Danio rerio: one gene and its partners. The protein of the gene in region 2 interacts with the protein of the main gene of each other region in a pairwise test. Links are inferred from orthologs where the notes say so. Each region holds a gene or a part of one and is shown on either strand. Other genes may lie near its edges. The genes, in order: hnrnpd, hspb1, bag3, stub1, pelo and ppm1aa.

Region 1 (5,376 bases), on a different chromosome or scaffold from region 2:
AGTTCGGTTGCGCAATTCTGATTGGGCAGAATAAAAGTAAGCTCACTCAATTGGCTAGTAAGACTGTCACACACAGAAGGCAGTCATGCATTTGCTCTGGGTGGGGGAAGTTAAATTTATATTTCATATAGCAGCCTCTTGCGATTAGCTAATCGAAACGATTCAAATCACGATTGTGATTCGATTTTGATTAATCGCACAGCCCTAGTTGCCTAGTAACCACATGCTGAGTGAAGCACATACTTCCTGTTTATACTTGAACATACATTGTATGGTCACATGATGTACGTTGTTTAGTAAAGCAATATGGTGTGGACGGAGAACTTTCCAGAAACAATAAATGAATGCTATTGTGGGCTTAGATTGTTTTTGTTCTTCAAAAAAAAAAAACTTTTCCTTAAAGGAAAAGAAAAAACAATTCAAAAAAGGAAATAGTGCAAATTCCTTACTTACCTTCCACTTGAACAGAACAAATGATATTTTGAATAAAGCTGAAAACCCCTTACTTCCATAGTATTTGTTTTTTCCCCTACTATGGAAGTCAATGGTTACAGGTTTCCAACATTCTTCAAAACATCTTTTGTGTTCAACAGAAGATAAAAACTCAAAGGTTTGGATTTGGAATCTCTTGAGGCTTGAGAAAATAGTGAGAACGTTTTAATTTTGAGGTAAACTTATCTCTTTAGAGTGATTTCTATCTGATTTTAATCAGATTTCAACTCGGGAGGGATAAACTTAACACACCAAAGTAGAGTAAATAGGTTACTTCATTTCATTTATTCTAAAAATGCCTGAGAACATGATATGGATTAGCATGTTTGTCAGACAGCAAATACTGGGTTGTAATTATATGTAATGTGATGTGCAGCACTGTGACTTTTAACATAAGCAGCTCATGATAACAGTGTTTTTAGACTCAGTGCACCTCGGTTCACTGTAAATAAATCCTGCTCTTCTGAATGCCGTCTTCGCGAATGCTGCATTTGAGTCTGAGTCGCTTATAGACCATTTCAATGTGGTCATGTCATTGGCCCATGAACATTTCCTGCATGTTATCAAACTATTTCATAACTGTAACAAGAGGCAATTCAATCGTAACTTGATAAAATAGCTGTCATAACATCATTTATCAATATGTGGCTCTTTTTGGATTCTCGAAAGCTACAGAAATAAAAAATGTAAAACAGGAAATACATTGGGACTATTGTTTTTGTTTACGTCCCATAAAATGGTCTATGATGTGCATTTGAAAATGTAACTGTGATGGAGTATCTTTCCAGGCTAGTCAAGAGAATCTGTTGATTAACAGAAGCATTTCATTATTTTCTTACAAAAATTAAAACAACCATAAATATTAGATTTAATTTTCATTTTAAAAATAAATTAGCATTGCAGATTAGCAGCAAAATAATTGATGTTTATTAACTTTCCATATTGACTATTACACGTGTATACCTGTAGTTATGACCAGTCTTTATAGGAAATAATAATTATATAAACAATGACTACCTTGTATGACTAGTCTAAGTAGTTTCTGCAACCGACCATAGATGATTATATTTCAGTCTTGTTTTGTCATAAAGTAATTCATTTATGCATACTAGACAAAAAAACACCATTCAGTTCTAAATCCGAGTTTCTCAAAATATGCTTTTGTCAAATTGACATTTGACAAAGCTGCATTTGAAAGGCAAATGTATTTGGAAAATGAGTCAACTTGCAGCTGTCCATTAAAGCGACAGTTCACCCAAAACAGAACATTCTGTCATCATTCACTCATCCTCCACTTGAACAAACCTCAATGAGTTTTTTTTTTCTGTAAAAACACAAAAAGGATATTCTGAACATTTTTGGAAATCATTGACTTCCACAGTATATGTTTCCTGCTATGGAAGTCAATGGCTACAGCTTGGCAACATTTTTCAAAATATCTTTTTCTGTGTTCAACTGAAAAAGGTTTGAAACCATTTGAGTGTCTTTCATTTTAGGGTGAACTATCAAACGAATATTAGGGAACACTTTACAGTGAGACGGGCAATACATCTGTTAAAGTATTTATTATTCTTTCATCAATTTACTAAATAAAAATTTAACTGATCATTGTTAATGCATGTAAATGACACAATATTACAGGGTTTCTGCCGCTTTCAACAAGTTAAATTTAAGATTTTTTAAGAAGATTATGAATGAAATTTTAGAAATATACAAGGCTAAATGCTAAGGATTTTTTTTCATTTGAATATTTTTACCTTTTGTCCACTGTATTTAAATTTAATAATACAATAATAATAATTTATTGATGAAAATATATAGGTCAGGTCAGTATCCTTGGCAGTAACTTTTAAACAAATGTTACTGTAAGTAATAATAACTTTATGGTATAAATGTTATTTTTAAAACGACTTTTATAGAGATTGGGAATGTATGGCTGTTAATGGCTAGATTTGGTCGCTACACATGAACAAGGGAAAATTAAGACCTGTTAAAAAGATTTAAGACCTACAACACGATGTTTCAGTATATTTAGACTTCTTAAAGCCTAAAATTTAGCTTTTGAGATTCAAGACAATTTTAGACACAGCAGATACCCTGTACTAGGATATGACTAGTAAGTTATATTTTAAACAAAAGATAGAAAACATTTTAATAAACCTTCATTTACATTAAAATCACCAAATGCTTTGAAAGCATTTCAATTGATAGTCCACATTAATTACTACAAACGTATGCAAAGCGATCAATCGATACTCCGACACACATATTCATGTTATTTACACAACCGGCCACTTTTGATAACGATATTAATATTGCATAATGACCACAAATATTAATGCAATGATTATAATACTTTAAATTAATATAAAACGATTCCTTGTTGATAATTACTCATCTAATCGACTACTATTGGGAAGCGATGTATGAACTCAAGGTTATTTTATTCTTCGGTTACAGTCTGTTCCCATGGTGCATCAGGAGCCGAAACTCACCCTTCGTCCTCCTCATTTTTACTGGCATCAATCTTGGAGCCCTCGGCTTCTCCCTGTCCTCCATTATCCCCCGACATCTGCTCTTCGCCGAAACCTTCTCCATCATCATTTTCCTCCATCTTCATCGTCGGGTCTTCGCCCAGAAACTGCTCCTCCGACATATTTGATCAACTATTGGCGAAAACACGCGCGGCTACAGTCGTTTCTACAGACGAAAACGTCTTAGGTCGTAACCGAAGCGAAATGCCTATAAATCGTGTTAATGCGGCTCAAATTCGCGTTTGTATTAGTCTGATTTCAGAATGTCGATGGCAACGGCGTCCATTCACAAAATGGCGGAGAACCGGAAGTTGAACGGGATGGCGTCACTAAGGTTACAAAATACGTCAACGTCGCTTCACGCTCATTGGCTGTAGGGCTGGAAATCTAGTTTGTTTATCTCAAACCTTTTAAATGCATAATATTGAATTATTATATGTACATTACATATTTTAAAAAAACTTAGTCATAAATGTTGTATAAAATAATCACACGACAAAGAAACATTGGTTTTCTCAGAATTTTTAATCCCTTTATCCAAAAACGTCAGGAAAAGAACTAAAAATACAAAATAAAGGACACTTTTCCTAATCAAGACTTAAGAACACATCAGCACAAAACCTACAGGTTCAATCTGAACAAAGCACAGAATAAGACAAACTTGGGAAACGAAACACCTCGCTATTTACAAGGTTAGACACTGGATTTGTCCCCAGAGGACCGAATAACGTTTTTAATAGTTGTTTAAGGACAGGATTCCACACAAGCTGCCTCCGAGGAGCAATGTCGAAGTCAACCTGCCCACCTACAAGAGAAGAGAGCAGAGATGAATCACCCGGTTTCCACACCTCGAGCAAAGCACGTCCATGTTTCAGTGTTTAACTTCTTGAGCTGTCGATTTTAAACTAGGAAAACCATCATTAAGGATTAAAGATCATATGTTAAACGTCTCCGACTGACAGAACAGCTCATAAGCCAGCAAAAGCCTCAGCTCCAAGCGGTTTGTGGACCAATCGAGGAGCGAGCCCAAACAGGTTAGCCTTTATCCTGTGTAAACGGTATGGTTATTAAAAACTTTAGCCAATCCTTGAACTGTTTTAAATCAGATTTCTCAGCTTTTAATGGCTTCGTAAAACTCACTTTACATATGATCTTTAAAGGCTATGCTTAAGAAAAAAGCACTGAGGTGTACCCATTTGAAGTTCTCTATGGCCTCTAAAGAAAAAGCAAGCATTATGAGAGAGTTTATGCAATTATTTACATGGGGAGGTAACCAAAAACCAAACATTACAAAGAAATAAATTAATAAATCAATCACTGAAGCTCCACAACTGAAATACAAGAGCACTACAATTGAAAAAAAGAGCATACAACAAAGCAGTTATCAATCACTTTTAGGTTACATTAACAAAGTCCTGGAAAAAAACATTTGGAACTGTTAACGAAAACCAACAACTTAATGAAATGGGGGAAAATCTCCTTTGTTTGTTTGTTTTACGCTGGTACAGGAAGTTGGAAGAGACCATACCACAGGACAGCGCTTTCTCGTGCATGCCGTGCTCTCTGCCCGCTATGTGCGACGCCCAGAGAATGACGTGGTCAGGTGACACACGGCCTGCAATGAAGTCCCCGCTGGCAGGTACAAACAAGGTACAATAATCAGAATTAGGGAAAGAAAGGAAAAATAAGGAGAGGCGCCTTTTACTCTGTACCCTTTTAGCCGTACATTACCTGTTAGCATTGCTATCAACTTTTTCTATGTTATTCCTTTATGATCACCTGTTAAAGCAGGAGGAGAAAATGGAAAAAACCTACAGAAAAACGCTTACGCTTTTCTGGCACGCTAAAAAAAGCAAAATGGCTACACAAACAGGTGCAATTAAAGATCTATAGACATGTACTCTACTCCTTAGGCTGTTAGTTTATTGTCTATTGATCTTTAATATTGAGGTCGAGCTCAGAGCGCAGCAAGTAGGCAATCTTACCATTGTTTCGCCACTTCATCAATACGGCTGGTAGCTGTTCTGATGGTTTCCGCTGTCCCGTGAGGCCTTGCCATAGCTGCTCTGTTGACCTATAATTTAATATATACAGTGATGAGGCCCGGTGTAGCAGAAATGCAACATGTATGTGAAAAAAACTAAAAACACAATATTATGTAAATCAGTGTCTCAACCATGTTCCTGGAGGACCACCAGCTCAGCATATTTTTCATGTCTCCTCAACTAAACCCACCAGATTTAGATCATCAGCTCATTAGCAGAGACTGAAACCCATCTAATGGGTGTGACGGAGAAAGGAGACATCCATGCAGTGTTGGTGGTCCTCCTGGAATGTGGTTGAGAAACAC
Region 2 (5,442 bases):
ATTTATCTTCCAATATATGTAATGCAGTGGTATTTTGAAAACATTTTTAAGTGTGCCAGAGTGTCCAAAAACCTTATGATAGTAAGGTTTATAATATAATTAAGTATAATATAAATAAAGGTTTGCTCTGCTTTTTTGTTTTTTGTTTTGATTTTGCTTGTTTTGATTTTGTTTGTTTTGTTTTGATTTGTTTTGGGTTTAGATTTGATATGATTTGATTTGTTATGTTTGGTTTTGATTTGTTTTAGGTTTTATTTTCATTTGTTTTGGGTTTTGATATGATTTGATTTGATTTGGGTTTTAATTTGATTTGACCTGATTTGATTAAATTTGATTTAATTTGATATGATTTAATTTTGTTTTGGTTTTATTTGTTTTGTTTTGGTTTGATTTGTTTTGGGTTTTGATTTGATTTGCCTTAATTTGATTTTATTGCATTTGATTTGCTAAGCTTTGTTTTTGATTTTATTTTATTTGATTCACTTTGTATTTTGTATTTTGTTTTTGGTTGATTTTCACTTTGTATTTTGTTTTTGGTTGATTTTCACTTTGTATTTTGTTTTTGGTTGATTTTCACTTTGTATTTTGTTTTTGGTTGATTTTCACTTTGTATTTTGTTTTTGGTTGATTTTGTTTCATTTCTTTTGCTTTGCTTTGTTTTTAATTTGATTTGGTTTGCATTTTGTTTTGGTTTGATTTCCTTTGTTTTTGTTTTGTTTTTTGCTTTGGTTTGATTTAGTTTTGTTTTGCTATATAATAACATAATATAATATACAGGCAGGGTGTGTGAAAAGTGTTTATATACAGTCAAGCATTAAATTATTCATACCACTAGCCAATTCTAACTCAAAGTTTTTGTTCAAATGTAAAATGTAAAAAATAAAACACATAAAAATTCTGCATTGAAAAAAAAAGTCCATGATTTCAATGGTTAAAAATGCTACGGTAAAAAACCATAACGATTTTTGTAAATTATACAGTATTAACTGTGGTGTGAACTGTATTTTACTATACTGTAAAAAAAAATAATAATAATAATTATATATATATATATATATATATATATATATATATATATATATATATATATATATATATATATATATATATATATATATATATTTATTTATTTATTTATTTCACACAGCTCTACAGTTTCAGACATTTCGAATAATTAATACAAAATAATATAAAGATAAATAAGTCTGTAAAATAACAGAAAATGTAATAAGGGCAGTTTATTATAAGGTTTTTGCAGCGTAATATACAAGACAATACATCACTTTAAACTAAAATAATAATAAAAGTCAAGGTTCAGAGTTGTTAAAAGAAAGATCAAGCTCCCAAAATGCAATTCAAAAGTCACAAAATACAAAAAACTTGAATTCACCAACATATTGTTCACAGTCCAGTATTAAATACACACTATCAGCCTTTGCCTCAGATTCCTTCCTCATGCGAGGGCCGTCCCTGAATAGACTTTCTAGTCACTTCTATAATTATCCGGACGGGACTGGGCTGTTGCAGAAGTGTCCTGAAGTGGGTGTGTCCTCCAGAAAGCCTTCTTATAAAAGTCCCAGCCCCATGCAAACAATCAGAACACACACACACACTCTGAACCGAGCCGAAAAACAACTCTTCAAAACTTCTGCAGCAATGGCCGAGAGACGCATCCCATTCTCCTTCATGCGCAGCCCGTCCTGGGACCCGTTTCGGGACTGGTATCAGGGCAGCAGACTGTTCGATCAGTCTTTCGGGATGCCTGCTTTATCTGAGGAGATGTTGACGTTTCCCAGCACGCACTGGCCAGGGTATATGCGACCATTCGGACACCCCGAATTTGCTTCTTTAATGCAGGGCCCACCTGTGATGCCTCCTATGATGACCCCGAGTTACGGACGAGCCCTTTCTAGACAGCTGAGCTCTGGGATGTCGGAGGTCAAGCAGACCGGAGACTCTTGGAAGATCAGCCTAGATGTCAATCACTTTTCCCCCGAGGAGCTGAACGTTAAAACCAAAGACGGGGTGCTGGAGATCACTGGTGAGTTTATTTGGTTTGATTGCATTTTGATTTGATTTTAATTAGATTTTCTGATCTTTTTGTTTTGATTTGATTTAATTTGGTTCCATTTGATTTGATGTTAATTTATATTGTTTTAATTGAATTTGATTTGTTTTAATTCTGTTTGATTTTATTTTTTATTTGTTTTGTTTTGGTTTGATTGTGTTTGATCTAGTTTGATTCGGTTTGATTTGATTTTACTATTAATTTGATTTGATTTGATATTATTTTAATTTGTTTTGTTTTAATTTGATTCTGTTTGATTTGATTGCTTTTAATTTAATTTCAATTTATATTTTAATTGAATTTTATTTGTTTTGTTTTAATTTTGTTTGATTTGATTTGATTCCATTTTAATTTATTTTATATTCATTTAATTAGTTTTGTTTTGATTGTTGAATTAAATATCATTTAATTTATTTTATTTTACTATGTATTATTTAAATTTTGTTTTGTTTTAATTCTGTTTGATTTGATTCCATTTTATTTTTCATCAGTTTAATTTGTTTTGATTTGATTTGATTCCATTTGATTTGTTTTTTTTCTGTTTGATTTGATTCCATTTTATTTTATTCTAATTTATATTATTTTAACTTGATTTGTTTTGTTTTTATTTGAAACTGTTTGATTCTGTTTGACTTCATTTTATTTTATTATCCATTTATATTGATTTGATTCAATTGGATTTTTATTTTATTTCATTATCCATTTGATTTGCTTTATTTTCTTTTGATTTGATTTGAGTCCATTTGATTACATTTTATTTATATTATTTTAATTTGATTTTATTCTTTTTGATTTGATTCCGTTTCGTTTGGTTTGATTCTGTTTGATTATTATTTTTTATTACAAAATTTTGTATTATTATGTTTTATTCTATTTTATTTTATTTGGTTTGATTTCATTTTATATTATTTTATTTCATTTTGTTTTGATTTGATTCTGTTTGGTTTGATTGAATTTGATTTGGTTTGATTTCAATTTATTATCTTTTTTATTTGATTTCATTTATTATGATTTTTTAAAAAATTATATTATTATTATTATTTTTTTTAATTCTGTATGATTTGATTCAAATTTAATTTTATTATCCATTTAATTTAATTTTATTTCATTGATTTTACATCATTTTAATTTGTTTTGATTTGATTGCATTTGTTTTGGTATGATTCTATTTGATTTGCTTTAGATTTTATTACACATTTGATTTGATTTTAATTTATACTATCTTAATTTTAACTATTTGTTTGGTTTTTATTTGAGACTGTTTGACTCCGTTTGATTCTGTTTGACTCGATTTGATTTCATATCCAAATTGCAATTTTTATCAAAATAAATTATTAAAAATATAACTTTTAATAATTTTGTATTTAATTTAATGTCATGAATGTTTATCACTTATTTACAGAATGTCTTCGATATTGTATCTAGTATCATAATTATGATATTATTTAAATTGGCAGTTTTAACTTCATATATTAAAATGATGACTTTTTCCCCAATATTTGACTTTATGACAGTGTCTTTTTTGGCTTAGTCAGACCTTTTAATCACGACTTGTAAAATATGTTGGATTAAAAATGCTATTCAAAATAATAATGACACCCCCCAATGATTGTGTTTGTCCACATTTGATCCAACTTTGTGTTTTCCAAAGCATGCTTTATTATGTGCACAATTACAGGCTTGAGTGAGGAAGAGAGGTGGTCAAGTGTGAAATAAATGCATGAATAACAGGCCTTGCTGGGAGACCTTTTGTATTGTGTCGGGTGGGAGCTGACAAGAGCAGCCAGCTAAATTCCTGAGATATTACGACGCCGGAGCCAAGCACAGTTCAAAACAGCATCTGCAGGATATTTAGAGTTGAACAAGGATAAAGCTATACACTAAAAAAATCTGCATCCTCAACCTAAGGCTCGGATGTTTAGTTTACCCAAAAATGACAACTGTTTCATCATTCACTCACTTGTTTTAAACCTATTCGACTTTCTTTTTTCTGTTGGGCATAAAAGAAGATATTTTGAAGAATGTTGGAAACCTGTAACCATTGACTTCCATAGCATTTGTTTTTCCTACTGTGGAAGTCAATGGTTACAGGTTTTCAGCTCTCTTCAGAATATATTCATTTGTGTTCGAGAAGAAAGAACATTTAAAAGGTTTGAAAAGGTTTTGTGTGAACTATCTCTTTAATACTCTTACTATAAAACATTAGCAGTAAAATATAATCTTTAAAATGCTAATTTCTTTGCTTAAACATGCATTTATGCAAATATATGCTCTATAAATACAAGTTTGACTATTTTTCTAAATATTTTTATCATTTAATTAAAAAAAAAAGTTACAATTGGAACTTTGCAAGAACATATTTATTTAATATCTAATACATTTAAGGAATGAAGCATATCTTTTTTAATGCAATTCTCCACTTAGCCTGCAGTGGACAACCTTTCTGGCTATATTTTCAATTATTAAATATGTTAATATGGCAACATATTGCGCTCTTCAGACTTTACATGAATAAATCTGACAGAGACTCCTCCCCCTCCCCATCAGTCACTAATAAACTGTATTAAATACCTTAGTTATTACTACAGTAAACTGTGGTGTATTGTAGTATAAAGGGACTTTGACTATAGAGTTTGATTCAAAACACAGTATTTACTATGAATTACCATATTTAAACTTTAAATATATAATATTCTGTTCGTTTTGATTTAGTTTGATTTAATTCAGCTTGATCGCATTTTATTTATTTTATTTTGGTTTGGTTCGATTCAGATCAGTTTGATTCTGTTCAGTTCGGTTTGGTTTGGTTCGGTTTGATTGCATTTTATTTAAATTTATTTTATTCTATTTGATTTGATTTACTTTGATTTGATTCGATTTTATTTTGTTTTATTTGATTTGAATCAATTTGATTAGATTTAAATTAATTTGATTGAAAGGAATTCTGTTTGATATTGATTTGATTTGATTCTGTTTGGTTTGATTCATTTTGATTGCATTTTTAAAATTTTATTTTATTTTTATTTGGTTTGGTTCGATTCAGATCAGTTCCATTCAGTTTGGTTTGATAGCATTTTATTTAAATTTATTAGATTTGATTTAATTTGATTTAATTCGATTTTGTTTGATTTGATTCAGTTTGATTTTAATTAATTTGATTAAAATAATTCTGATTTCTGTTTTGATTTGATTGTATTTGATTTGATTTTGTTTGGTTTGGTTCGGTTTGATTTGATTTAGTTTGATTGCATTTAATTTATTGTACTTTATTTTATTTTTAGTTTTTTTGGTTTAATTTGGTTTGGTTCTATTCATTACAGTTTGGATTTGTTTGGTTCGGTCTGATTGCATTTTATTTAAATTTATTTGATTCT
Region 3 (4,914 bases), on a different chromosome or scaffold from region 2:
TTTCATCAGATGTAATTTTTCAACACCCTATTAAACACCATTTTTTTAAATGAAAAGTCAGGGCATCAGGAAGATTTTACAAATGAAGAAATTTTCATAAAAGTAAAAAATTAGCTATTCATTTATTCTGACTTAACTCTGAGATAAATTAAAAGTTTTCTTTAGGCTGTGCCATAAATGTAATAGTAAATAATATTTAGTTTCCTGCACTGATTGAAGTTTTGTTTCACGTTTCACGAAACCTCAATATATCAACAGGAGATATCTGTTTTGTTTTGCCTCGATATCCTTTTTTTGCTGTTTTAGCTAAATATTTTCTTTAAAATCCTACTAAAGAAAATCTCAGCGACATATTCGATGACCCAAGGGCAAGTAAATTAACAACCAATTTTACAGTGAACTATCCTCTTAATGCAAACCTTTCCCAATAAACCCAAGACAGAGACTGCCACTTCTATAGATTGCTTTCTCATGATCTTACCTCAGGCCCGTGTGAAGTAGGTGAGCAAGACGAACATGCTTCTGATGGGGTCTGCACTGGAGATCTAGGCCGACAGTGTGCTGCTGGCGTTGGGGAAGGTGTACGTCCATCTGTTCTCAGATTCTGCTGCACCGCTGGATGAATGTAGGAGAAACTAGGATACTGCTGCAGCCTGGGTTCAGGGTTTTCATGACAGACAGGGATGGGGATGTAGCCCTGCCGGAGCATTGGCTGCCTCATCTCATTAATAAAGGTTTTGTGCATGTCCTGAGGAGTCTCTGGGGACATTGAAGGACCATTGGAAAAAATCTGAAACAAGAAAACGTAAACAGTTCAAACTCTTTTCCATTGCAATTGGGTGAAATATTTCACACCGTAATGCCAGCAATTCTTTATACGCCGGTCTACACAAGCCTGATAAACAACATCACATCTGATGATACTCTTTAGCTGTGAAGTATTTAGTAGCTGTCTGTGAAATTGCTTTGGAGAAGGCAAATAACAAAAGCATGCAGTTGACTGGGTTATTGAATAAGCTCCAGTTATCAATACTGTCATTACAAGCATCATGGCGAAATTCTTTGACTTGCTCCAATAGCTTGGCTATGACTAAAGACATAAAAAAACAATTCAGGGGTAATGGTATGTAGGTGTTGTCTGTGAAATAACACTGCTGCAAATGTAAAAACCAAAATAGGGACAAACATTTCTACACTCAATAAAACAACTTTTGCTGCTTATTCAAACTACTTATTTAAAATGAGTTGAAACAACACAATTCTTTTGTGTTTTTTGGACAACTTAACTGTTTTATGTTCATCCACTTAAATTTGTAAAAACAATTAAGTTAACTTAATCGATTTGTGTTGGGACAACATGAAGGAATGGGCTATATGCACAGCTAGTGTTTTTCAGCCAATGATGAACTTCCGGTGAAAGGTTTATGTGACTATTTTCAATTTCATAAGGTTGCTTTTACAGCATCAATGTTGTGATGTATTTCAAATATAATCAGTTAAATAGATTTAAGCATCCATTTAGTTGTTAAAGCGTAAAAAAAGATAAAAGATGCAGGTGCCGTCATTAGCAGCAGGCTAGCGCAGAAACTCCATTAAAAATACTGGGGTAAAATAAATTTTCATATTTTAAAGACACGGCACGGATATTATTTAACGCAGTGCTTCTTGTTTGGTCTGAGACCTACTAAATATCGTATCTCAGCTAGGCAGAGATGATCACTGTTTTTTTTTTTTTTTTAAAGAAATCACATTTAAAACGCTGAGATTTTGTGTGAGATGACAATTCACCAGAAGCCCTGGGCCTGGCTGACTGAAAAGAAAAGCCTATGAATATACCCCATTGTGTGGAACCACAGAATTTTTACAGTGTAGTCACACTTTTATAAACATAATAGGAAATCATTCATTCATTTTCTTTACGGCTTAGTCCCTTTATTAATCCGGGGTCGCCACAGCAGAATGAACCACCAACTTATACAGCACGTTCTTACGCAGCGGATGCCCTTCCAGCCCCAACCCATTTCTGGGAAACATCCACACACCCTCATTCACACTCATACACTGTGGACAATTTGGGCTACCCAATTCACCTGTACCGCATGCCTTTGGACTGTGGGGGAAACCGGAGCACCCAGAGGAAACCCACATGAATTCAGGGAGAACATGCAAACTCCACACAGAAACGCCAAATGACCCAGTAGAGGCTCAAACCAGCGACCTTCTTGCTATGTGGTGACAGCACTACCTGCTGCGCCACTGTGTCGCCATAATAAGAAATCACTGTGTATTAATAAGACACTGTCTAGTATACTGTATTTAAAGATTATCCAAAAATGAAGTTTGCCTTTCTTACTTTAGTGGTTCTAAACTATTATGAATTTCTTTCTTCTGTTAAACAGAAAACAAGGTATTTTGAAGAAAGTTAAAAAAACAGCTATTCACATCCATACTAGGAACAGAAAATAATATAGAAGTCAATAGTTTTTTTTCCCCAAACATTCGTCAGTGTAACTTCCTTTGTAACAAGTAACAGAAGAAAGGGGGAGAGTAAATCATGGCAGAATTTACATTTTTGGCTGAACTATCCCTTAAAATAATATTTAACTCAGCAGTGTGGTTCTGGAAGTAAACACTCCATTCATTCATTCATTGATTTTCTCAATATGAACATTGATTTCTTTAAAAAATATATCTTTGAGCTCCACTATTGTTAATCAATGATTTTGTTTAACAAATGCCAGCAGGCACACAACATCATAAGACATTATTATTAGGTTAGATTTAGGTTGTCTAGCCAGCATCTAAGGACAACAATATTGTGAGGTCCAATAACAATGTTGATATTTGGTTGATGGTATGTTGTGTTAAAAAGTGATCAAAAAACCAAAGTCGAGCCAACCAACATCAGATTGACGTCCTACACTGACATTTATTTTTTAGGTACGGGAACCAAAATCCAACGTCTGACAGACGTCATGGTGGTAATGTCCACACAACGTCAAGCTGCAAAATTATTAGACTTTGATATTTGGTTGATTTTTATTTTCAAACAAAATGCAACGTCCCACAACAGTTGAGTACAACATCAATTTGACGTCATGTTGACATCCTGTGCGTGCTGGGATCTGTTCACATTTATTTAACTTAGCACACTCAAAAATATATTTTGTTGCTTCCTCAAACTACTTATTTATAATGAGCTGAATCAACACAATTCTTGAGGGGTTTTGTGGGATAACTTAATTGTTTTATGTTCAATTAACTTAAACTTGTAAAAACAATTAAGTTAACTTAATCAATTTGTGTAGAGACAACATGAAAAAACACTATTTGTGTGAATAAACCATCTCAAAAGACTTCTACAACTCATAGTACTTACATATTTACAGTATAATTCCATTAAGTCCTTTGAAATGCTACAAGCCGTTCTTGTACTTTTGTCTTTGAGTCTGATTTACAAACATTTCTTTGCTTTTAAAGCAGTTTTAACTGTGGGATTCACCTCATTTTTAGTTTGGTTCATAGCTTACAACCCTTCAACAAAGATGTTATAAAATATCCGTATGGGTAAAAGAGGCTATACCAGTGCTGTTAAACAGTGGGCACTAATGCTTTATATAATGCTATCAGTTTAATGATGCCCATTTTGTGAACTAAAAGTCACTCTAGTATTAGGCATGATGCATTACGTCATGTGATTAACAGTATTTTACACCTGCTAAATCTTTCCTGTTAGCCTCACATCACTGTCAAGTTGTAGGCTTTTACAACTAGTCATATTCAGTCACATGCGACTTTCAGCCGTTGTAAATCTGTCTAACGTAAATTGATATTAGGTTATTGCGGGCAATCAACCAACAACTTGCTAGCGTGTTGAGTCACTGCATTATTCCAGTAAGTAAATGTAAATCTTAAAGCCCGACTGTGGCTTGCGTCTCTTCTCATCTGTTTGACATGCAAAGGTCAATCCGCCCTCTCTCAATGACGAGGCAGTCCAGGATTTAAGCATGAAATATGAGTGGGTAAAACTCACTGTGCACAGCAACTGTTAAGCGACTGCATTGGCTTACAGGATATACCCTGTATGCTGTAGATTCTAATGCCATGACTCACTCTAGGTAGCATTTTTCAATGGGGTTCTGTGCTGTTGACACTGTGTCTTAAAATACTCTTTGTGAGGGGGAGGGCCTCCCTTACTCATCAATGTAAATTAGAGGTGCATAGACAAAACAAACATCAAACAAGATAAAATCCCTAGCATATCATCACAAAACACCTATTTTGATGTTGAAACAGCACAATTACATAATTTAAAAGAGGGGCTTTCACCAAGGGGCTAATGAATAAAAAAGATATGGTCACATTTACTGTATTCAGACTAATTTTGCAGATAAAATACAGTCATTTCAATTGAATTCAACATTAAAAGATTTCCCACACAGATTTTGCTTATGTTAAAGTGATTTTTGTGTGAACTGTGCTCTGTAAAAAATAAATGTTATTTTACAGGTAACTGTCTGTTATTTGTCTGAATCAATATTGGAGTTACTTTTGCACGCTGGAGGAAGGACAACACCATAGCCGAAGTATTACTGTTAGACAGGTAATGTTCTGTTTTAAAACTATTTTAGTCAGGCTAAGCTTATGTTAAACTCTGTTGTGCTTTGAATTGCTTATATGCACAGACATGTTGTTCGATCACTGAAATCTCTCAGCAAAAGATTGATGCGACTATTTTCAGTTTTATGAGCTCTATTGCTTTATCTGCTTTATTGAGCTGAAGTTGCTTTTATATTCACATTGGTTAATTTTTTAACAAAGACAGCCTTCCTATACTGTTTACCATGCTACTCTGAATATTCGCTCCGAAATAGCATGTCGGTATGGCTTAGTAATAAATGTAATTCTTACACG
Region 4 (5,480 bases), on a different chromosome or scaffold from region 2:
GAGCACCGGCCGGTCCCGGGGAGCCAGTTACCTGCAAACCTCTCAGAAACACACAAGGAAAATATGAGCCACAGTAATGCAGGTGCAAAATCATAACAATATTCTTATGGGGTCAATTTTATTAGCCACCATAAGAATATACATTCAAAACAGTTTGTTAGAAACAATGATATGCTTTGCGTGTTTGTTTTTATGTTTATATAAGTGCTATTTTCATTTATAGCTCTTGATTTTTGCATTGATTTTTAATATCTCTTGTTTAAATACACTATGAACAGCAGCTACGCTAATTATTTTCTTTATTTTCTATTTCCACCTGGGGATACTCATCCCGAGGCCTCTAGAGATTGTGCAGCGCCATTGATGTGATCCAAGACCTGTGAAGAAATGATGCCAACCGCAGAGCACTTCTAGAGGTCTCCATAATCCTGGACCAGGCCGTATCCTGAGCAGATATCAGGGCCGGAGTGGGACTCATTTTCAGCCCTGGAGTTTCAAGCCAGACCAGCCCACCTCGACTGATTACATTAAAATAAGGTCATTTCCAATTCAGTTTCTAATGACACTATCACATCTTTTTTGAGAAAACAGCTGCTTTAGAAATTCAAATGTTCAACAACCCTTACAGTATTATGTCATAAAAACGAAAAATAATAATAATAATTTTTCAGGTGAGATTCGAACATGGGTCGGAAGTTTCGCAACGCAACGTGCTTTCCACTGGACCACAATGGCGCTATTCCAGTGGGAATAAAAAATAAAGATTACACTGTGAACGGCAAGACATAGTATTACTTTGATGGCTAAATCATTTTCTCCTTTTAGATTTCTGATCAAGTTTTGTCAGATTTAATGTAGTAAATCATCTGATTTTCATTGAGCAGGTGTATTATTCATTAATATTAATTATTCAAATTCTTATAATCACTAAGGTGCCACTGTTTGGGGTCGAATGATTAGTTACATCATCATTAACGTTAGTAAACCTGCAGGCTGCATTTTGCTCACGGAGCAGCAAGAAAAAAAATAAATAAAAAGAGCGGCGCTGCGGCAAAATAATGAAAAACAAAAAAAAAGAGTGAGGCTATGGTCAAATTAATAAATAAATAAATGAAAAAAGTGTGACTGCTGAGAGTGCAAGCAGCTAGGGACACTGGCCCTCACGGCCAAAAAACGGACCGACCCACCAGGAATTCTCTCGGTTCGCCAATCCGGGCCTGGCAGATATTGTGGTTGTCATGGAGGAGCTGAGAGCATAAGACTGATGCCTGAATCACCCCAGTGACAAACAAGTCCTCACATTTATCAAGTGGGCCAGCCTGAACACACGCCGGTGACCTACTCACACTTGCATCTTCTCCACGATGGACATCCAGCGTTCTCCAGCCTCCGGCGCCTAGACTGCTTTTCTGCAGTTTGGTCAGAGGAGAAATGGTCGTGCCCAACAGAGCCGGTTTCTCTCCAGGTTTTTTCCTTCACTTCAATCACGTCAATTGGTGAAGATTGTTCCTTCGCTGTTGCCACTGGCTTGCTTGGTTTGGGAATTGTGGAGCTGCGCATCGATGGATTTGCTCTTCAGTGTTTGAACTCTCAGTATTGAATATTAAACCACACTGAACTAATCTAAACTGAACTCCAACTCTGAAAACTGGACTGACAGTTTACACTATCACTATATCACTATAATCTTCTATGTTAAGCTGCTTTAACACAATCTGCATTGTAAAAGCGCTACAGAAATCAAGATATTTTTCAATTAGCTACAGAACAAACCATCATTATACAATGACTTGCCTAGTTAACATAATTAAGCCTTTAAATGCTGAATACAAGTATCTTGCAAAAACTTGCACGACCCTCAATTGGTACTAATGGACCCAAAGTGTGCTAAAAAAATCTCCCCCACACCAATACACCACCACCACCAGCTTAAACCGCTGACACAAGGAAGGATGGATTCATGCTTTTATGCTGTTGACGTCAAATTCTGACCCGAGCATCTGAATGTGTCAGCAGAAATGGAGACTCATCAGAGCAGGCAACGTTTCTCCAATCTTCTATTGTCCAGTTTTGGTGAGTCTGTGTGAATTGTAGCCTCAGTTTCCTGTTCTTAGCTGACAGGAGCGGCACCCGGTGTGCTCTTCTGCTGCTGTAGCCCATCCGCCTCAAGGTTGGACGTGTTGTGTGTTCAGAGATGCTCTTCTGCAGACCTTGGTTGTAACGAGTGCTTATTTGAGTTTCTGTTGCCTTTCTATCAGCTGGAACCAGTCTGGCCATTCTCCTCTGACCTCTGGCATCAACAAGGCATTTGTGCTCACAGAACTGCCGCTCACTGGATATTTCCACTTTGTCGGAGAATTCTCTGTAAACCCTAGAAATGGTTGTGCGTGAAAATCCCAGTAGATCAGCAGTTTCTGAAATACTTAGACCAGCATGTCTGTTATCAACATCCATGCCACGTTCAAAGTCACTCAAATCCCCTTACTTCCTCATTCTGATGCTCGGTTTGACCTGCAGCAGATCGTCTTGACCATGTCTACATGCCTAAATGCATTAAGCTCCTGTCGGTGAGTGTATACTCTACATTTTTCTGATTTTGATTGAAATGTATTAACGTGCACCTTTTGTAGAGCTGCTGTTCATATAGTAGAAATGATTAAAATGAATTGTTTAATGTACATCACACACACACACACACACATCTGGACAACAGTAACACACATCTGGACACTGACAGTTGTGTGAAATCATTCATGACTCTTTATGCAGCTCTGTGAACTTAAAACACACACAATCCAACAGTTAATCACTAAAATTAAGCACTACCAACGAGTAAATGTAATTTCACGTCGATCAGAAATTAAACTCCTGTGCCTGACACATAAGCACATTCACACACACTTTACAAGCTAACAACCAGGTCAGCGCTGAGAATAAACACGCTTAGAGATTAAATCAGATGGTTTGAATATGAAATATGGATTATTTGAGGCGTACCGGGTTTGACTGCTGGACTGACGCCTGTCGTTAGCAAACCGGTAGCGACACTGGTGCTTTGATGATCACTTTTGGATCCCTGATAGCGAATGAAACGCGGCCAAACTCATATTCCGACTCGATCATGACATTAAGATGACAAATGTCCGACGTTTTCATCGGCGATCCTCAAAAACACGACATTTTACCCGCGGGTGTGAGACGCTAGCATCATGTTTCGGTTGTTTTGACTCTGCCGTCACTGTGACGTCGCCGGAGGTGACGATCGGAAGCTCGTTGCCAACGTAATAACGCCACCTGTCGGCGACGTGCAGGAGTTTAATTTCATAATAATAATAATTAGATAAAATATATAAATAAATATGAAAACAGTTATAATAATAATGCTTGATTATTATCATTATTTATTCTACATTTTACACGTTTTTTTCCGGTTACACATTTTAAAAAGTGTTCTAGAAAAGCATGTAATAAAAATATAAATAACTGACTTAATTTCTACTTCAGCATATAATTTTGAGCTTTCTAATGACTTTTAATTCTTATGACTTTAATACCTTATTTATAATTTTGACCTTTAAGTAACAGAGTAAGCCATAATTGCTCATTTTTTATTAAGAATTACAAAAAAAGTCTTAATTTCTTCTTTAAATATTTTTTTTCATGTAGTTATAGAATTTAGCTATATAATTTAATATAAAAATACATCAAATGTCTTTAATTCTCCTGTAAAAATGTGCATTTTGTATTTAATTTTTGTTTAGAGACATTTTAGAGTCACCCTAAAAAGCTGCATCATATTTTAGGTGCAAAACAATGAGTTTGCTAAAATGATGTGAATAATTTAATAATAAACATACTCAAATTCAGATTGCAATATAATTTCTTGCTGAACACCAAACACATTCAGAAAAATAATATATTAACATTAAAGAACAGTAAAAGAGTCACCAAACACCATTTCAGTTCATAAACCATATAATGCACTTAAATGAGGACAACATGAACAGTCGACAAGTAAGACAAGTAGAAAAAATACATGAATCAAAATGTGAATAATTATGATGATAATATATAATTCATTAGTGTTATCATCATTTTTACTCTACATTTTAGTTTTTTTGTGATTATTAATTTTAAAACTTTAAAAATGTTCAAGATAATGTGCTTTCTTATCACTTCTAATTTTGATTTAGGTATAACATTTCTTTTTTTTAATACCCTATTTATAATTTTGACCTTTAAATAACTCAGAGTAAGCCATAATTGCTCATTTTAATTAACATTTATGAAGAATGCCGTCATTTCTTCTTTAAATTTTTTTTTCATGTAATTACATAATTTAGTCATAGACTTTATTATAAAAATAAGTCAAATGTCTCTAATTCTTCTGTAAAAATGTGAATTTTGTATTCAGTTTTTGTTTAGAGATATTTTAAAGTCCCCCCAAAATAGCTGCATCATATTTTAGGTGCAAAACAATGAGTTTGCTGAAAATGATGTGAATAATAATAAATGTACTCAAATTCATGTTGTAATGTTATTTCCTGCTGAACACCAAACACATTCAGATAAATAATATATTAACATTAAGAAACAGTAAAAGAGCCCTCATTCACCAAACACCATTTCAGTTCATAAACCATATAATGCACTTTAATGAGGACAACATGAACAGTCGACAAGTAGAAAAGTATATGTAAACAAATGTGAATAATTATAATACATAATTCATTAGTTTTATCATTAATTACTCTACATTTGCAGTTTCTTTGTGATGATTAATTTAATAACTAAAAATGTTCAAGATATTGTGCAATGATTTAATTTCTACTTAAGCTAATCGTACTTTTGAGTTTTTGTATGATTTTAAGTATGACATTTCTATTTTTTACCTTTTAATTTGACCTTTAAATAACTCATAAGACTTAATTGCTCATTTTTAAATTAATAATTACAAAAAATGCCATAATTTCTTCCTTTAACATTATTTTTTTTATGTAACTACATAATTTAGCCATGGACAGTAATATAAAAATACATCAAATGTCTCTAATTCTCCTAGAAAAACGTGAAATTTAGTCTTTCTCATATGTACAATTACACAAAACTTCCAAAATCAGCCTGAATTTTGTTTTTAGTTTCATGAAGAATAAAAAAAAGTTCGTTTTTTGCATCATATTGTAGGTGCAAAAAAAAAAAACATGTGAATTTTTTCTAAATGCAATTAAATTCATTTATTAATTTTCATTCGCTTTTTCAGGGTCAGCAGTCTTAGGACAGAACCCCAGACACTTCCTCCAGCTCCACCGGAGGATCCTGAGGCACTCTCAGCCCAGCAGAGACACATAGTTCCTCCAGCGTGTCCCCCAAGGTCTCCTCCCCGTGGGACATGCCTGGAACACCTCTCTAGGTAGGCATCCGAAACAGGTGCCCGAGCCACCTCAGCCGACTTCTCTGGATGTGGAAGAGCAGCGGCTCTA
Region 5 (4,914 bases), on a different chromosome or scaffold from region 2:
CATCCAAAAACTTTTGATTTACTCATTATTTACTGTAGTTCCAAATGCTTGTGTGTTGCTCTGCTGACTCTAATGCCAAAACATCATACTGCCTGTATTATACGCGCACCTTGGAAACATTGGTGAACAAAGTCATTCGAGTTTTTTTGGGGGGTGAACAAAGCCTTAAATTTTTTTTTTACGTGAAATACATTAAATTGACGCAATGCCTTAATAATTTCTAAACTTGCCTTTATTAAATCAACAGAGCAGGCATGTGATCCTGCTCAGAAAGCAGATGTGGCCGCTGTCGTGATGCAGGAAGGTCTGGCCAATCTGGTTCTTGTGACTCCAGCCATGACCTTACTAAGGGCGAAGGTTGAGGTCACCATCCCTCGCAAGAGGAAAGGCAGTTGCACTCAACATGACAAGGTGAACCAAACTTCTTTTTCTGTGTCATAAATAGTTTTTATGTATTCCATAATTTTTTTTACAGGCAGGGCTGCACAATTAATCAAAAAAAGGTTGCGATCTCGATCCTACACACAATCTCAATTCAGCTTTTCTACCAGTTATATTTTCATGGTGAGGAGAGAAGCTTAAAGGCGGTTGCACAAATCTTCATATTGTTTTACATACTTTACTCAGCAACATGGACACCTCCAAATGGCATAAATGTGTCACACACTGCATCTACAAGGTATAATTCACCCAAAAATGTTGTTACTGTCATAATGCAATGACGTATTTGCGGCTAAGAAATGACCCCTAATCTGACGAATCTGATGTTTACTACTGATAGGACACTAGCCCGCCAATGATGTTAACTTTAGTGAACAAAACCTGCATAGAGTGTGAATAACAGGTAATAAAGTTGTAAACAGCGTTCAGTTTGTTGCACAGAGTGGTCATTTGGGAGCTGCGGAGAAGGTATGATTAGATTGTATGTTTTTTTTTTTTTTTGAATATTATAATCCAACTTTAGAATTATGAATGGTTGTATTCTGATGTCATCACACTGTGCATTAATGACCAGGACATATTTATGTCTGTTTAAGTCCACCATTCCAAGTCTATACCGAATTAAGCATTTTAACCAACATTAGACCTACACATAGGCCTTATATTGTTGTTTTACCATATGTTTCACAAATAACAAAAATAATAGCCTATTCGTATTAACCTTTATTTTAATGTCTACACAATCGTGAGAAAATTGTGATTCTTGATTTTAAGCAAAAAAAAAAAATATATGATTCTAATTTTAGCCAGAATTGTGCAGCCCAACTGTAAGGTCTCAATTCTACACATTAGCTGTTCTAATGTCAATCCGGTCACATTGACCTATGAAGGGTCCTCATTGCTGAACATTTTCATTTTTTCAGATATTTATAACCTTACTCAGACCTCCTTATTCTGTTAATGCTACTGCATTATTATGATGTTTTTTAAGTCCAAGTTTTTCTTTAATCAATAAGATGTTACTTGCTTTTATGAAACAGTTCTTGTTACAAAAGATGTCTCTCAGTATTTGCATATCTCAAAATAAGATGCTTGTTGCATACTAACACTGTGTTCTCTTTCAGGCATTGGAGCGATTTTATGAGGCTGTAATGCAGGGCATTCTGAGACACTTCAACTTTGATGGTATCATTATTATTATAACTTATTAATAATGAAGATAGAAAGTGGATAAACAAACACGGGCATTTGACTGTATTTGTGTTTTTCAGTGGTGAAGTGTATTCTGGTGGCCAGTCCAGGTTTTGTGAAAGATCAGTTCATCTCGTACCTCTTTAAAGAGGCTGTGAGACAAGACTGCAAACTTCTTTTGGAGAACAGATCCAAGTTCATGGTGGTTCATTCCTCGTCCGGACACAAGTATTCTCTCAAAGGTATATTCAAATTTCATTTTAAATTGATTGATTGATTGATTCATTTTCTTTTCAGCTAAGTCCCTTTATTAATCAGGGCTGAAAGAAGATGACAACTTTATGAGAATGAAGATATTAGTGTTATCTACCAGTAAGAAATTAGCCGGTTTGTTGATTTGTGTGATAAAAATAAGCTAAAAATAAATACTAAGAAAACTGAAGAGATGGTATTTGACCCAAAGTATAGGTGACCATCATCAAGTGATTGTACATGACCTTCTTATCACTCAGTCAGAGACCTATAAGCACTTGGGCATTTACCTTGATAGTTCTTTTACATGAAAAACACACAGAGTGTGTAGATTGTATTTTTTTTTACAGAGGTTACATCTTTTTTTGGAGTTAAAAGAAGCTTATGATGCTGTTTTATGAAGCTGTTCTGGAAAGCATTGTTAGATATGGTATCACAGTGTGAGATCTGTGTACAGATCTATCTGTACAGTGTAAATCTAAGTTTATGGATTTCTTAAGGACAGGATGGAAAATTGTTGGGCATGATGAATATTTTAATTCTCAAGTTTTATATGAGAATTGTGTCCTCAGTTTGGTGGAAAGGATTCTGAATGATCCAATTCATTGTTTTGTTTCCACATTATGAACTACTTCCGTCTGGTAGGAGATATAGAGTCCTAAAGTGTAGGTTGAACAAATATAAGAGAGCCTTCTTGCTGTGAGGCGACAGCCCTGCCCACTGCGCCTCAGCACCGCCTGTTTTTATTTTATATTGATATAAAATATAAATGATTAATGTCTGTGTGAAATCAAAGTTTACTGTGTATATTTGGCTAGCTCACATTATTATTTTTTAAGGTAAATCATTAATCTGTGCAAGTTAATACACTGAAATTTTTTATTTTGTTTTTTGGTAATATTCAATGAAAGTTTGACCCTTTCGCTTATGGAGTTGCGGTCCTTCAGTTCACTTCAACCTGAGGGTCTCCATAGCAACTACATATTAATACCCTCTCTAAAGATTTTTGCACACTGAAGTCCAAAATTTTAGTATGTGTTTTTTTTCGTATTTAAAAGCGAAAAATTCCTTGCACACTGAGCCTGATACGTATTAATTAATCCATTATGAAAACATTTTAAACATTTTCGGAGTCAGTTTTAGCAGTGATACTTTTTTTTCTCTCTCTTCTCCAAAGTAGAAAAAGGAATTGGCAGCATATTGTGTTCATCTAATATTGGATGGAAAGGAAGGAGAGTTCAGCCCATTATCAAAGAGCTGCGCTGAATTATCCCGAAATGCAAAGTTTATTTCTTGAAATCAGTGGAATTTTGATAGATTGCTTGTGATTCTTCACACATTCACATACATAAACAGATCCTGAACAGAGATTGGCAGTATGCTTGGAAATTATAATAGATGGCACATTGACGTGTTGAAGCAACGGACCGGAAAGTGGATATATTATATTATATCTTAGGGCAATACTTCAAATGTATGGACATACACGCACACACGCCAAACAGCAGCAGGGCAGAGGTGCGCCAGTCACTGAATCCAGCATATAGGCCAGGGGTCACAAATCTTGTATATGGAGGTCCGGTGCCCTGCAGGGTTTAGCTCCAACTTGCCTCAACACAGCTGCCTAGGTGTTTCAAGTATACCTAGTAAGACCTTGATTAGCTTGTTCAGGTATGTTTGATTAGGGTTGGAGCTAAAATCTGCAGGATACCGAACCTCCAGGAACAAGTTTGGTGATCCCTGATATAGGGGTTCTGAACTATCTGCTACATTTTGTCATTTTATGCACTGTGTTTGTCATAAAGTTATCTGTTACTCAAATGACAGCAGTCTGTATTTAGCTTTTTGCTTGTAGAGTAGCTGTTTTCATCCACCTATTTTTATGTGCATTTTGGATATGCGCATAAAAAAAAAAAGGTTGATGGAAACGGCAAGATGCGCATAAATTTTGAAAATGTGCATACAAAACATATGCGCATAAGTGAGTAGGATAAACATTTTATTCGATAAGAAAATATGTGCATAAACTAAGATGGAAACACTTTTACCGCACAAATTTCAGTATGCGCATGTGATTATTGTTATAAGAGATCATGTGTTGATAAAAAAGTGTGTAAATAGACAAATCATTTGAAAAGTTGTTTTGTTTGTTCTAAATTGTCGTAACCATTTCAGTATTAGTGTTATTACATTATTAATTACCTCCAGAACTGTCAAAAGTGTCTGTGCCCCCAATTTCACGCATTCAAACACCACCATTTGTTCAATGCGCGTCGGCATCGTCTTCTGAAGCGCAAGCCATTTATTAAATTAGTAAAAGATTGACGCAGCTTCTACCGTAGCAAATATCGTTTTTACTGTAGATATTTGCCTCCAGTTAATCTGGAAGTGACAATTTTTGTTCTCTTTGACTGTTTGGATAGAAACACTGCTTTATTCACACGTCTTTGTTGTGAAATTCCAGTTTTGCTCATGAAATTGATTTGAATATTTGGATGGAAACATAGCTGGTGGCTCTGAACTGTCAAAACACTCTCAAAGTGCTTTTTCGGATGCGAAAAGTGGAAAAAAATCAAACCCGGTTCGATTTTATAATGGACAAAAGTTTTGGAGGCATTGTGTCAATACGATTCACACAACATGAGGTTGAATTAATTGGTCATCCTTTATTTTGATGGTCAGTTTGTTAACTTTAAGTTACATTGCATCTACATGCTAACTAATTCTCATTAAATTACAAGTAGACTGTAAGGTTGGGGTTAGAGTTAGTGTAAGTTGACATGTACTTGCAAACTTTCTTATAGTCAGTCAAATGTCTGTTGAATATCTGTATCAAAACTGTATCAACTGTATCTTCTAATACTCAAATGGGCCATCAAGTGTTACCAATTAAATTTTTAACGTACAAAAACCGATTCAAGCCTCATTCACATGACGAGGAACAAGCAACCGTTTATTTCAACGGAGAGTGAGCGACTTCCGGCGACCTTCGTCTACGCGAGTGACCGCTGGCAAACAGGTGGGCGTGTC
Region 6 (5,532 bases), on a different chromosome or scaffold from region 2:
ATGAAACAAGTTGAGCGTTTTTATCAATGGATGATTGAATCAGTGACTGACTCTCTTGATTTATTTAAGAAACAAAACACCAATGTGATTCATTTAGAAACAAAACACCACTGTTTCTCTGAAATACATAAAAGCTCTGCTCTCGATTTGTTTGGAACCATCTCTATTCCCACAAAAAAAGAGAATGTTTCCAACTGCAATTGTGCTCACTCTGTGATACTTAGCAAAGCTAAACTATTGCTTGTGTGATACTACTTAAGTAGATCATATATTTCTTGTGAATATTAAAAAACTAATACAGAGATTTTTTGCTTTGAGAAATATTCTAACTGCATTCCATTGAGGTCCAGCATGCTGTGAGTGCTTTTAAAAGTCAGTAGCATAACCAGAGTCAGCTTGCACATTGTTAAAACAATAAATACAATATAACTGTAGATAGTAAGCATCACCATTTGTGTACCAAGAGGACAGAATTAAAAGACTGCGTGATTCGCCCAAATAAAAACAACTCTGTGTACAATATCTAGTTGTCCAGTGATAATGCTGGATGGTGCTTATCTTTAAAAATAAAAAATATACCTCTACTAAAATAAACTGATATTTTTACTCATCATAACCTTTCAAGTTACATAATCTTTCATGCAATAACTGTTAAACATCAAACAACCTTGTTATTATTCCAGCAATACAGTTGTACAGAGTAGTTAACTTGCATATAAATGCACATAATAGAACAGGCCAATTTAAATGACAGTTTACTCTGAATTTATTTTATGTACTCACTCTCCGCTTGTTCCAAACCTTTATGATTTTTGTTACTGAATTAATACAAAACACAATATAATTTAGTTTTCTGTGATATGAGCACATCTTTCCCAGACGGCTTTGATAGCTCTGTTTGGAAAGAATATACCATTTTAGATTGATTGGGATAGTTCTGTATGGAATGCATCTCCATAAAATATAATAAACAATCTACAAGTGTACTTGGATGCAATAAAAAATGATACAAATGAAATAAACAGTGTTTTATCATTTTCTGAGGAGTCTAAGAATATTGTGGTGCAGTAATTGAAAAATAAAATGTCAAATAATACAGCACAGTCTTCCAAATGGTACAATTTCTTATGCCTGGATGCTTTAAAAAACCTCATAGTCACAGGCCTCAAAAACAAATGAAAATTTATAATTCAGACTCAACATTGCATCCTGCGATGTGTCTATTGCAAATTATCATATTGCGAAATCCATGCTGAAACAAAGTATGCAGCCCTAATATGTACAATAATATCAACTATAGATTTTGAAGTATACTGGTTTAAAAAAAATCAAGTATATTCTTTACATGCAACCACATGATGGTAAATATTTTTTAAAGTTGTTATAAAATGGAAAAGTAATAGATTTTCTAATATAGAGTGGAAGAGATAAAAATAAAAAATAAACCAGAATGGGAATTTGCTTGTAGATTGGATGGAGGAATCCGATTCTGAATCCAAGCATGCAGTTTATTGGAAGAAAGATGTAGGGTTTTGGTGGACTAAATCAGTGGTTTTCTTATTAAGTGGTTGTCGGGACCTTGGTGACTTTCTAAAAATCTCATATATTTTATTAAACTATTAAAATTATCATATTTTATCAATTATTATATTTTATTTGTGACCCCTAGGGTTATTGTGCTAGATTACCATCAGAGCAATATCGTTAGTTGCAGCAGATTGATTTTGCGGTACAATACTAAACTAACAATTTAATGGCACTCACATACATTACAAATAAAGGCCACGACTGAACAAGGAGGATGATCTCCTAGTGGTTCCAAGTCTCCAAATATAAACTAAGTCTTTTGCTATAAACATTGTGCTCACCATTCGCATTAAATGAGGTTAATATTAAATTAAACAAATGAATAATGATAATAAATATATATATATATATATATATCGTTGTAATACTGTTGCACTTTTTTGTGTTGCCAATATGCTTGTGTTCATATAGTTCCCACTGGTGTGTGCACCATTGTGTGCAATATTTGTATGCGTATAACCACCTCCAAACATAGTGGGGTCGGTGAGTCACTGGAGTTGTTATTTTAGGGGGTCATGGGCTGAAAAGTTTGAGAACCTCTGAACTAAATAGATAGAGAAATCAGACATACATCACTAGACAAAAGTTTATCATTACACAAGAAAGCCGAGTTAGAGCCGAGATTTCTATGTAAAAAGGGCATTTTTGTTTTTTCCTGATTTTAACAACTGGTTACATTAAATTTGAATGTAAATTGTAAATATTTTTTACTTTAAACACACACACGAAAGGTAACACACCCAGCACAATCCCTCTATTTATAATTCATGACGACTGAAACTACAAAAGTCTTGTCATGCCAGTGGCCACTTTAGAAATAAACCATGGCATGCCACCAGGAACAAGAAACAAGTGTAAACACACACACACCATCACAAAGGCAGGCGGACACACATTAAGCGGTTTTCCAGCCATGTATGGCTGTCAGCAAACACACCGCTAAGCACACTACACACTCGCATACTAAAAATAGATAAGTACAGATGCATTCTGACCATTGTTCACCGCTCACATCAATTACGACTTAGTCTAAACACAAAACCAGTGCCATTTACAAAACCCCAGCCTTGAACTATGTACGCGTTTGACTGATACACACTGTAAATATGATCTAGACTCAGATTAGGTTTACTACTAAAGTAAATTCATGGTTTACTGCGAGATATGATCAATCAATGTTCTTTGCCCTTAGCGTTGAACAGCAGTGAACTGAAATTCTGCCCGTGCAGACCTGCTGCACGTTCACGCGCCTGTATTCCGCATTACGTCATGGTGTCGCGAGCCTGTTAGCATGCTAGCTTCACGCTAACGTTGACGTTTGGGACCAATCGATTCGACCGAAATATTTAAACAACATGAAATATGTCAGCGCATGTAATCAGCACATATAATTGGCTATGTGCCCAACAAAAATAATTTTCAATATCTGAGCCAGGACAAAATAGCACGCTAAATGCTAATTGGAGGATCGTGTGAATCCGCGGGCTTGAGTTGCCAAACCTGCGGCCCTCAGCGCACCATGCGCAGGCCACACACGGCAGGTCAGACCGCTGAGCTCACACAACGCCAGCCTACTCCCTTAGCAAACATGCTAACAGGCTAGCTCTGTCATTCACACACAGGTATATTACAAGAGCACAAACACTTACCCCCTAAAAATCAGTCCTGGAGAGTTCGGTGGTGAAGGAGGTAAAAAAACAGATCAGAGAGAAGGACGAAAAGAAAGAGAGAGATATAAAGCGAGCGCGGCGGTGGTGAGAGAGAGACAGGCTGGCGGATTGTTTTGCTCTGCATTCAGTCAGTGAAACAGCGGATCACCCATATCTGTTTAAACCAGGGATGCATCATTCCCATTTATTCTACGTCCTGAATGTTGGTGGAAAATGAAAAGTGTTCGGGTTTGACCGCTGTTTTGGTCCGCTATGGTCGGGACCGAATCTCTGCACACCAGCAACAGCGCAGGACCCGGATGTGGATTCAGCAGGGCTGCGCACTTAAAAGAATGACATCATCATCATCATCCCTCCATCAACCTCATCCCTCCATCTGTACATCATTCTGTCTCGCACCTTCCTTCATGTACATAATTCTTTCACCACTGTCTCTAAATCATCTGTCCTGCGTTTTTTATTTGTCTATCACTGGTCATTTTTGAAAAACCCTAACATGTGTGAGGCTGAAAACAAGCTCTCAGTGCCAGGTAATAACAGAAACACTGTTATAAATGCATGATAATATGTTAGGTGAAAAGATGAACATATATTTCATGTGCTCTTGATAAGGTTTGAGCCCTAAATTAATAGTTTATTGCATTGCTTATATCATGTATCATTTTTCTTTTTTCTGTGGATGTCAATGGCTACTGGTGGTTTCCAACAGGTAACAGGTAAGGTGAGTACCGACATGGAACAACCTATATAAGGATATATGTGCATATATGAAACCTATATGCAGTATATATGCACATATATGATATATACAATGCATGCATATATATGCCACATAAAGGCAAAATTGAGGTACATATATATACACAGGTCATATAGGTCTCATCTATCGCTTCTTTATATCCACATATAAGCCCTGCATATAAAAGACATGTCTTATATAGCTCATATTTCACTTTGGCAACTGTCATACATGATGCCTAGCTCATATTTTCAAGGCATTAACTAAGAACTAACAAAAAATGCAAAAAAAATAATAATAATTATGTAAGTGTGAACACTTGAAATTTATATCACATGTAATTGTCATGTTATGAAATTTAACTATGGCAAATAAGTGAGAGCTCACACAGAAATAACCTATATAAACATATGTTTTAATATAGGTTTTAAATATATGTGACATATAAAATTATCTGTTTCCCTATATATGCACATATAATATAGGAAAATGGCAAATTTTATATATGTCACATATATTAAAAATCTAAATTATAACATATATGTTTATATAGATTATTTGAGGGTAAAAATATTTGTAAAAAATTTAAATGTTTCATTACTGCAATAAAACAACAAAGAATACATTTTTCTTTTTTGATAACATAAATATATTAAAATAAAGACAAAACATAACATGAATAAAACCTACCCATCTGTCTCTGTCTGTCTATCTATCTATCTATCTATCTATCTATCTATCTATCTATCTATCTATCTATCTATCTATCTATCTATCTATCTATCTATCTATCTATCTATCTATCTATCTATCTATCTATCTATAAACTGTCTGTCTGTCTGATAGATAGCCAACCACAGACAATATTATAATTTCTTATGTCTATGTAGCCAACAGAGCAATAATCGATGTTCAGCTGCTCCAGTGAGTACCAGAAACAGGGATGTGACCCGGAAGACTTCGAATCACACACAGACGCTACCGGGTAGTTGTTGTTTCGGAAGAAGCCGTTAAGCATGTCATAAGTTGTAGCGCAGGGATTTGTCAGCGCTCCGGTTGCGCAAGTTTCACCAGTGCTTCCGTCACTCTGTGAAGGCATAACAAGTGAAGTGTCTCGATGGATATATGCTGGCTGTGTGTTGGTCTTGCTGGGACCGCAGTTTATTTACTAGTGCAGTTCATACGCTTCATTTTCGCCGACGCTGATCTGACTTTGTTATGGGCGGCCAGGTTCGGCAAAACACCAGGTAAAACCGCAGATTTCACCTAGAATTGTGTAGTATGAGCACATTTCTTTTTATACTGTAATACGTTTGTAGTTTACAGTGTATAAAAATGTGCTGCTGTATAAATCTATTAACCTCTGGGCTATTTATTATGCAACAAAGTCAAGTGCTGACGCATTTCTGCAAGATGTGGAATTTGCACTCTCTAACACGAACTATCAGTGCCCTAACTAGTGTATATGTATAGAGGTCATTATTGTAATGTGTAAAAAATACAGTTTATGGATATGTAGTAGTTGAATTAAAAGAT

The links.
Region 1: the proteins of hspb1 (region 2) and hnrnpd come close enough for resonance energy transfer, tested with the Homo sapiens proteins (2 studies listed by BioGRID). The link is inferred for Danio rerio from reciprocal best matches to the Homo sapiens genes HSPB1 and HNRNPD.
Region 3: the proteins of hspb1 (region 2) and bag3 interact in binary tests that used the Homo sapiens proteins (3 or more experiments, as listed by UniProt). The link is inferred for Danio rerio from reciprocal best matches to the Homo sapiens genes HSPB1 and BAG3.
Region 4: the proteins of hspb1 (region 2) and stub1 interact in binary tests that used the Homo sapiens proteins (3 or more experiments, as listed by UniProt). The link is inferred for Danio rerio from reciprocal best matches to the Homo sapiens genes HSPB1 and STUB1.
Region 5: the proteins of hspb1 (region 2) and pelo interact in binary tests that used the Homo sapiens proteins (3 or more experiments, as listed by UniProt). The link is inferred for Danio rerio from reciprocal best matches to the Homo sapiens genes HSPB1 and PELO.
Region 6: the proteins of hspb1 (region 2) and ppm1aa interact in a two-hybrid assay, tested with the Homo sapiens proteins (2 studies listed by BioGRID and IntAct). The link is inferred for Danio rerio from reciprocal best matches to the Homo sapiens genes HSPB1 and PPM1A.

What each region holds. Positions count from the first base shown.
Region 1 is NC_133185.1:5,488,189-5,493,564, forward strand, and holds the start of hnrnpd (heterogeneous nuclear ribonucleoprotein D0), read right to left. Parts: upstream 3,340-5,376; 5' UTR 3,149-3,339; coding exon 2,988-3,148; intron 1-2,987. Other genes in the region: hnrnpdl (heterogeneous nuclear ribonucleoprotein D-like), read right to left, coding at 5,030-5,100. UniProt on the Homo sapiens protein: Binds with high affinity to RNA molecules that contain AU-rich elements (AREs) found within the 3'-UTR of many proto-oncogenes and cytokine mRNAs.
Region 2 is NC_133180.1:4,131,465-4,136,906, reverse strand, and holds the start of hspb1 (heat shock protein beta-1), read left to right. Parts: upstream 1-1,592; 5' UTR 1,593-1,656; coding exon 1,657-2,041; intron 2,042-5,442. UniProt on the Homo sapiens protein: Small heat shock protein which functions as a molecular chaperone probably maintaining denatured proteins in a folding-competent state. Plays a role in stress resistance and actin organization.
Region 3 is NC_133188.1:28,706,498-28,711,411, reverse strand, and holds part of bag3 (BAG family molecular chaperone regulator 3), read right to left. Parts: intron 791-4,914; coding exon 482-790; intron 1-481. UniProt on the Homo sapiens protein: Co-chaperone and adapter protein that connects different classes of molecular chaperones including heat shock proteins 70 (HSP70s), e.g. HSPA1A/HSP70 or HSPA8/HSC70, and small heat shock proteins (sHSPs), e.g. HSPB8.
Region 4 is NC_133199.1:43,371,077-43,376,556, reverse strand, and holds the start of stub1 (E3 ubiquitin-protein ligase CHIP), read right to left. Parts: upstream 3,244-5,480; 5' UTR 2,998-3,243; intron 42-2,997; 5' UTR 1-41. UniProt on the Homo sapiens protein: E3 ubiquitin-protein ligase which targets misfolded chaperone substrates towards proteasomal degradation.
Region 5 is NC_133187.1:13,767,572-13,772,485, reverse strand, and holds part of pelo (protein pelota homolog), read left to right. Parts: intron 1-247; coding exon 248-411; intron 412-1,565; coding exon 1,566-1,626; intron 1,627-1,712; coding exon 1,713-1,874; intron 1,875-4,914. UniProt on the Homo sapiens protein: Component of the Pelota-HBS1L complex, a complex that recognizes stalled ribosomes and triggers the No-Go Decay (NGD) pathway.
Region 6 is NC_133188.1:34,951,182-34,956,713, reverse strand, and holds the start of ppm1aa (protein phosphatase 1A), read right to left. Parts: upstream 3,553-5,532; 5' UTR 3,237-3,552; intron 1-3,236. Other genes in the region: dhrs7 (dehydrogenase/reductase SDR family member 7), read left to right, coding at 5,114-5,243. UniProt on the Homo sapiens protein: Enzyme with a broad specificity. Negatively regulates TGF-beta signaling through dephosphorylating SMAD2 and SMAD3, resulting in their dissociation from SMAD4, nuclear export of the SMADs and termination of the TGF-beta-mediated signaling.